Linked DNA regions of Caenorhabditis elegans. The protein of the gene in region 2 purifies or fractionates together with the protein of the main gene of each other region. This does not show direct contact. Each region holds a gene or a part of one and is shown on either strand. Other genes may lie near its edges. The genes, in order: ufm-1 and tbb-6.

What was found.
Region 1: the proteins of tbb-6 (region 2) and ufm-1 fractionate together in Caenorhabditis elegans (co-fractionation; one large-scale study listed by BioGRID). This does not show direct contact.

The regions. Positions count from the first base shown.
Region 1 is NC_003281.10:7,856,735-7,860,012, forward strand, and holds ufm-1 (Ubiquitin-fold modifier 1), read left to right. Parts: upstream 1-2,244; 5' UTR 2,245-2,246; coding exon 2,247-2,335; intron 2,336-2,405; coding exon 2,406-2,601; 3' UTR 2,602-2,778; downstream 2,779-3,278. Other genes in the region: tag-307 (ApaG domain-containing protein), read right to left, coding at 1-107, 156-241, 288-372, 417-508; coq-5 (2-methoxy-6-polyprenyl-1,4-benzoquinol methylase, mitochondrial), read right to left, coding at 690-1,115, 1,162-1,424, 1,554-1,722; tomm-7 (Mitochondrial import receptor subunit TOM7 homolog), read left to right, coding at 2,879-3,016, 3,276-3,278. UniProt on the Caenorhabditis elegans protein: Ubiquitin-like modifier which can be covalently attached via an isopeptide bond to substrate proteins as a monomer or a lysine-linked polymer.
Region 2 is NC_003283.11:12,259,363-12,263,937, reverse strand, and holds tbb-6 (Tubulin beta chain), read right to left. Parts: upstream 2,408-4,575; 5' UTR 2,324-2,407; intron 2,141-2,323; 5' UTR 2,135-2,140; coding exon 1,969-2,134; intron 1,913-1,968; coding exon 1,391-1,912; intron 1,324-1,390; coding exon 859-1,323; intron 805-858; coding exon 677-804; 3' UTR 570-676; downstream 1-569. Other genes in the region: ssp-35 (MSP domain-containing protein), read left to right, coding at 115-438; Putative UDP-glucuronosyltransferase ugt-56, read right to left, coding at 2,828-3,101, 3,146-3,371, 3,420-3,654, 3,747-4,027, 4,076-4,316, 4,383-4,550.

The DNA.
Region 1 (3,278 bases), on a different chromosome or scaffold from region 2:
GTGCATCTACCAAATACGATGTAATATCTACTGGGAATCCCATATGACTCCAGTCATAGCGATGAATGAGAACTTGGTAGAAATCACGCGTAAGAAGATGCTTTTCGCTAAAAAAAAATTTAAAATCAGAATAGCAGAAATTTATTGCTACTTACTTTTGTTGACTTCTTTTTTCATGTAATCTACATGGAAAAGAGCAAACAACGACTCCTTTGTAAGCAAATGTTTTGTGAATGAAAATCTGCAATTTAATATTTTTGCAAAATAACTGGATTGAGTCAACCAACTTGTCCAGCTTCAAATGTTGGTTTATTAGTTGATGGCAAGAGAAGTCCAATTTCTTTCAATATTGGCGTTGTGGCGCTTCTGAATCTTAAAAATGATGATTATCGAGTCTGAAATCATCTATAAATTACCTTGACAGTAAGACTTTCCCAGCGGAAAAGTTTCTTACACTGTGCTGAATAGCACTTCGAAGTTTCATATCTGAAATTGTTGGAATAAACATGAATTTTTTCAGATTTTTTGAGTAACAACGGGAATAAACCACGGAATCATAGATGTCAGGAAATACAAATATAACAACTTTAATTAAATTTATGCAAAAATTCTACACGAAAAATACTGAATATCACCTAGAAAAATGGAATTAAATGAAATTTTAAAAAGAACAAACAAACAGGAATAAATTATTTTCTTGGTTTCATCCCCTTATGAATCGAGCACACTCCAAATGTCAAATTCTCGTATCGAACATTACTAAAGCCTTCTTCTCTAATTATTCTTGCAAACTCGTCTTGATTCGGGAATTTACGAATACTCTCAACCAAATATTGATAACTGGCACGATCACTGGCAAGAATTTCTCCAAGAACCGGGATCACATTGAAGGAGTATGCATCGTAAATTGGTTTCAGTGCAGAATTCACTTCTGAGAACTCCAAAATAGCAAGTTGACCTCCAGGTTTGAGTACACGAAAAGCTTCACGAACAACCTTTTCAGGGTGTGTACAATTTCTGATTCCGAAGGACATTGTGAACAGATCGTAAGTGTTCGACTCAAATGGCATTTGCTCGGCGTTAGCGCATACCCATTCCGCGCGAGATGGTTGGATCTGAAGTAATACATTAAGGATATGGAATTTTTTCAAAAACAATTACATCTCTCTCCTTCTCCGCTCGTTTTTTTCCAACATCGAGCATTGGTTGATTAATATCGGAAACTGTCACTTTTGCGGTAGGCGAATGTCTGAGAATTCTGAAAGCGATATCCCCGGTTCCTCCTGCCATATCCAGACATTTCGCATTATACGGTACTTGCAGGCCACCAACATAATAGTCTTTCCATAATCGGTGAACTCCCATGCTCATTGCATCATTCATCAAATCGTACTTTTTCGCGACGTTTGCGAAGACGTGGTGAACTAAAAAAAGACATATAGTATCAGTAAATTATATAGATGTGTTGGAAAAGGGCTTATTTTATGTAGAGAACTTTGTGATTATTATTTGTGGCTATCAGCTTTTTTACGTTTCTGAATCGAACAGCTAACCTTTCTGCTCCTTCTCTGCCTCATCAACGTCAGTGAATCCAAAATGTGTTTTCTTTCCGGGCTCTGACCGTTTATTATCTGAATTGACTTGATTCACCGAAAACTGCCGGAAATTTCCAACGTTCGTAGGTTTTCTCATGCTTTTAAATAAGTTTGTTGCTCCTTTCATTCTGAAAATAAATGAGTTTTAATTCGGACAAAAGATGAGAAAATTTTGAGAACTTAATTGCGAAGTTGAATGATAAATTAAGTGATAAAAATCACGATACTCTGAAAGTTCTTGCAAGAAATATTCTACCGCATTTTCCCGTGGAGATTCCTAGGCCATCACTCCATAATGAATTTTGAAGAGACGTATTTCTCGTTTTTGTGGTATTTGTACACTAAATACTAGCGTTCGAACTACAATCTTCATTTAAATTTCACTCGAACTTTAACATATGAAAAATAATTGAATTATATTATAGTTCTTGATCACGCCATCACTGGCCTAGGTTCCGTCAAGTGGCCGAGTTTTGTAAGAGACACTTGGCATTTTTCCAGTTTTTCTCTCCTATTGTTTTTCAGTTTTTCAGGTTATTTTGTGCATTTCTGTTATGTCCTTTTCTTTATCAATTTGTTCGACTTTTTAAAAAACAATTTTTCAAACAAACTGGACGATTATTATTGATTTTATGCGAGAGATTTTCAGGAATGTCGGGTGGAACAGCAGCAACAACTGCCGGTTCCAAGGTGACCTTCAAAATCACTCTAACAAGTGATCCGAAGCTCCCATTCAAGGTGTAAGTTTTTATATTTAAATTTTCGGTTTACTTTTGATTTGGAGTTTTGCGTCATGCATTAATTTTTCAGCCTCTCCGTGCCGGAAAGTACCCCATTCACCGCCGTTCTCAAGTTTGCCGCTGAAGAATTCAAGGTCCCTGCGGCTACATCAGCAATCATTACGAACGACGGAGTTGGCGTCAATCCAGCTCAACCTGCCGGAAACATTTTTTTGAAGCACGGAAGTGAACTTCGTCTGATTCCACGTGATCGCGTCGGCCATTGAGCATAAGCCAATTGTTGTCTACATTCCTGTATTATGACATAATTATTTTTACAAAATGTGATGTCTCTGTGCATTTCTATCCTAAACTCGCTAAGTCAGATTTGAATATCTAAATTCTTCTAAATATTAATTTATTGAAATTCCCCTTTCCAAAGTACGCTATGAAGCTTTTTTCTCAAACTTGTTCAATCAATTTATCAATACTGGTTGCTCTTCCGCATTTTATCTTACTTTTTTAAAACTACTTTACTTTTAGTCTTATATTATTTTATTTAAGATGAAGCTCTCCCCAGCTACCAAGTCTTTCATCGGTAAGACAGTCGATATTTCCACATTTGCAATCCAATGGGGATTCGTGCCGTTTGTGGTCTACCTTGGATTTAAGAAAGGCGCTGAGCCAATGCCAAATGGACAGGTAAAAACTAGAAAAAGAAACATTTAGTTTTAAAATCACGTCTCCGAGAGAGCGTAATAAATAAAAAATGCGTCCCATAATACACAAGATTCAAACATTTATATAGATACCGCATTTTCTTTACAAGTTTCTCGTTGTGTAAATAGAACAATTGCATGCGAGACGCTGCCAATTATTTTTTAATTTATTTGTCAAAAGTTTAAGTTTTACCAAAAACACCTATGCTTTCAATTCAAAGATTTAAGAATTCATATTTCAGATC
Region 2 (4,575 bases):
AGCCTGATTATTTTATCAGTAAAGGTTATCTAAATGTCAACATTCTGGCAAAATTGATTAAAACGATTTATTCCCTTCTTTTGAAGTTGAAGACCATTACCGTCGTTTTGAAGAATGATCAACGTCGACCCACCAACTGGAAACTTCCCTGCATCTGGAGGTAATTCGGTTCACAACATCGTCTCGGAGTCGGATTCTCGTTTGGCATTCAAGGTGAAATCGTCGAACAATGAGCACTACCGTGTTCGTCCCGTCTACGGATTCATTGATCCGAAGGGAAAAACCAAGTTGGATATCAATCGTATTGCTGGACCACCAAAAGTTGACAAGCTTGTCATTCAATATGCTGAAGTGCCAGCCGATGAGACTGATCCTCAAGCACCATTCAAAGCTGGAGCACAGCAAGGTGAAGTCATCGTGAAGATCACTGCCGAATGAGAAAATAGATCTAAATCACCAAATAATCTGAAACACTAAATAATAAATGATTATTATTTCCTGCCTTCGGGCTTTTTCTCGTTTAACTCTGCCTATGAATGTTTCAATCAATAAATATCTGAAACGATTATAATTCAACGTATAATATTGTTCATTATCTGATGTGGTTTCCCACTATATTTGGTAATCATTTAAGAAAATTTTTTCGATATCAAACTGAAATCTCAACACGGAGAAGTTAGGCTGAATGAACTTTCTCATATTGTTGGAACTCCGAGATAAGATCATTCACTTTGTTCTCGGCGTCAGTGAACTCCGACTCTTCCATCGTGTACCAATGAAGGAATGCTTTGCGACGGAACAGGCCTGTAGAGTAGTTTCATACAATTTGCTCTAACTTCTAAACTTATGAAATCTCACCTGCAAACTGCTTAGAAATACGTTTGAGTGGTTCCTGGATTGCAGTGGAGTTTGCAATGAAAGTAGCAGATGTCTTGAGTCCTCTCGATGGAATATCACAGACATCGGTATTTGTGCTCTTTGGTAAAGACTCAATCATTTCAGATGGATCTTCATTTTCCACACTGATGATTTGTTCAGCATCCTTCTTCTCAGTCTGTTGACCACGGTAAATAATAGCAGAAGACAAGAATTTTCCCTGATTATGGTTACAAGTCATTATATTCTTGGCATCGAGAACTTGTTGGGTAAGATCAGAAATACTGAATGCCTGACAATCTATAATTCCTTTTCCATATACTGGAGCGAATGAAGTCATGAAGAAATGAAGGCGAGGTGAACCTGCAGTGTTGAGCTTGCGAATATCCGTTTTCAGATTTCCTTTGAATCTTTGGAAAGTTGTTATTCCAGATAATGCAAGAGACGCTGAAACAGTAAGTTGTACAGAATGATTCTGAAATTAACTAATAAAACCTCAGCTCTCCAGTCTTACCAAGATGATTCAAATCACCGTATGTTACGCGATTTTCAAGTTTGAGATTGTATTGACAGATGTCGAAGATTGCTTCATTATCGATGCAGAAGTTCTCGTCACAATTATCCATGAGATGGGGCATGGAGAGAATTGCATTATATGGCTCGACAACCGTATCCGAAACTTTAGCAGATGGAATGATTGAGCACGTGCTCAGGGTTTTATCAGAATACTCTTCTCGGAGCTTTGAGATGAGTAGAGATCCTAATCCAGATCCAGTACCTCCACCCAATGAGTGAATAAGTTGAAATCCTTCCAGACTGTCAGCAGCTTCTGCTTCTCGGCGGATTACGCTAAGAACCTTATCAACGATTTCAGCTCCCTGCTCGTAATATCCCCTTGACCAATTATTTCCAGCTCCACTTTCTCCACTGACCGCATTTTCCGGATCAAACAGCTTTCCATATTGTGTAGAACGGACATAATTGATGGATTCGGGATCAAGATCTACCAAAATCGCACGAGGAACATACTTTCGACCTTAAATATGTTCAAAACAGAAGTAGAAGGAACAACGATTTTCTTAATTCCCTCACCTTCCATCTCCTTATAATAGGAAGTTATACGTTCAAGCTGGGAACCATTATCTCCTTTGTATGTCCCGTCAGTTTGAAGACCGTGCTCTTCCGATATGTATTCCCAGAATTTGGCTCCAATCTGGTTTCCACATTGTCCAACTTGAACGTTAATAATTTCTTTCATTGTTCTCTGCAATTGAGGGATTTGAAACACAATTATGTTTTTTAACCAAATAAAAGTGAAACATATTAAGTAATGTGTGTACCCAGTTTGAAAAATGGTAAATTTGCTCAGCATTGTGTCTCTTACATGTGTTAACTGAAGAAACAGAAAATTAATATTTTTAAAAAAATTAGAAAAAATTATGTTTACCTCTCTTTAAATACCTATTCCCTATTGCGAAATATAGTCTATTGCGAAATTGATCTGCAAGAAAACTGCGGAAAACTGAACACAAAACACAAAATAAGTTGTTTTCATTTCACGGAAAAAGATCAAAGGCACACAAACAGTAGACAGATGTTAAGTCACGACTCAACCATCAACTGATTCCCCTAAATAATCTAGTTAACCTGTATAAAAGTTTGTTTAAAGTGAGTATGCAAAACTTGAGATTTCAAAACAAATGTTATTAGTATTTTGATCTTGGTATTTCGAAATCTTTTTTGCATGATACAAGTTCCAACGATTGACATAGTCTCCTCGTTTTCGGGGAACTAGAAGTCTACACTCAAGTTTACAATACTGTAAGCGGTATTAAAACTATTAGTCCAACTGGAATGAACGTTTATTGAAGCTTTTCTGAGCAGTAACGGGATAAAAGTAGAAAAATTACATTTAAAGATGAATTGTTGTAGAACAATTATCACATTTTTTTTATTTTGTTGAAAAACTCAATGGATATTTAAATCCTACATAGTTTTTTCTAAAATGGTTTACAAAAACAAAAATAAAAAGCATAAAAACTAAAGCAATCGATGAATCAATTAGTCGAACCAAGGTATTTGGGTGATAGTTTTTTGGAAATTTGGAAAAATTCGGTGGAAACTCTGTTGAATATGTAGCTTCGATTGTGGAAATCAGTAGGTTCTCGGCGTTTTCTTTCGAATTTCTTAAAAGAGAAGAAATAAGAACAATGTTTTGATCCAGTCTGAAATTAGGAACAATTGAAATCACTCTGAAAATATTTTATACTTTGCATTCGGTTCCAGTCCTGTTTTGACGGCTTTCACAATTTTCGCCGGAGTTTCGATGTCAGATTTCGGAAGAATTTCAATTAATCCATTTTCAAAGGCAAGCTTTGCATTTCGGTGTTGGTCTCCAAATAGTGGAACTGCTAACACTCGAACTCCAGAATTAAATGCTTCAAGTAAGCTGTTCTGGCCACAATGGGTAACAAACAGGTCAATTTTGCTGCTAGCTGGAATTTTTCAAAAACGACTTTATAAAAGTACTGAAAATCACTCACCTAATAAATCAGTCTGCGGCAAAAACTTTTTGAAAATTATATTTGTTGTGAGCTCCTCCTGTTTTGTGAAATTATCTTCCATTTCATATTTCCATATGAACAAAACATTGTTCATTTGTTTCATTGCAGTCATCAACGAATTTTTCAAATTTTGAGGCATATGAGATGATGTGGCTGCAGTACCAAATGATACGAGCACTTTAGGACGAGGATCAGAGAGAAGAGTTTGATACTCCTGAATTAAAAATCAATACCACCATAATCTTATTGTAAAGCTTGCAAACTGCTTCAGGCGCTATTCAAAAAATTTGCAAAAAGGCAAAATACCATAGTCAAATTCTTTTGATCCTTAAAAGCAATCCCTCCAATATCAAAACTTCTTCGTCCTCTCATTCTCATTCCATCTGATCCTTCATGAATATTATAAAACAATAAATTTGCTTGTCTCATTATTTCACCAGTAGGTTTTTTCAATCCATAATATTTTTTGAAAAGCGGAGATATCATTGAGTCCTGCATTTCGTGGAAATTGAGCATTCCAGATAGAAACTTGAGATTTCTTCGTTTTTCAAAAAATGATAGGTAACTTCCATAATCCGATAATAGAGCTGAAATTGGTTTCATAGTAAATCATTTCCATTCTGTGTCAAACTAACATGGAGTGTTCAATGTATCAGATATTCCAAGTGTAATTGGGACAACATCCATTGGTCCAGTTGATGATACAATAACAGTCTTCTGTACACCGATTACCTCAAGAATACCGACTCCACAAGAATCGAATACTTCATGAATTGCAAAGTCAAATTTAATTTCTTGTAGTTTAGGAATCAGTGTGCTATTCTCAATTAGGTGAGTGCATTGAAGACGATGTACATGACCAAGGCCTTCCATTATCTAAAAAAAGAAGTTAGAATTGTAAACGTTTTAAGCCGGGAAATTTGTTAAAATAATCTCACTTACAGTTCGTTGTTCTTCCGGTGATGCTTTTGAGTTCCATAATATTGTGGGCAAACTACCGGTGTTAAGTAGTTTAGTGACTTCAGGGCTTGGTTCAACTGAGATGATTTCATGAATATCTGATGATAGTTCGTTATCGACGTCGTATCGGAATACGTTATCAATTACTGTCTAAAAATTGTTTTTTAAAATTTTT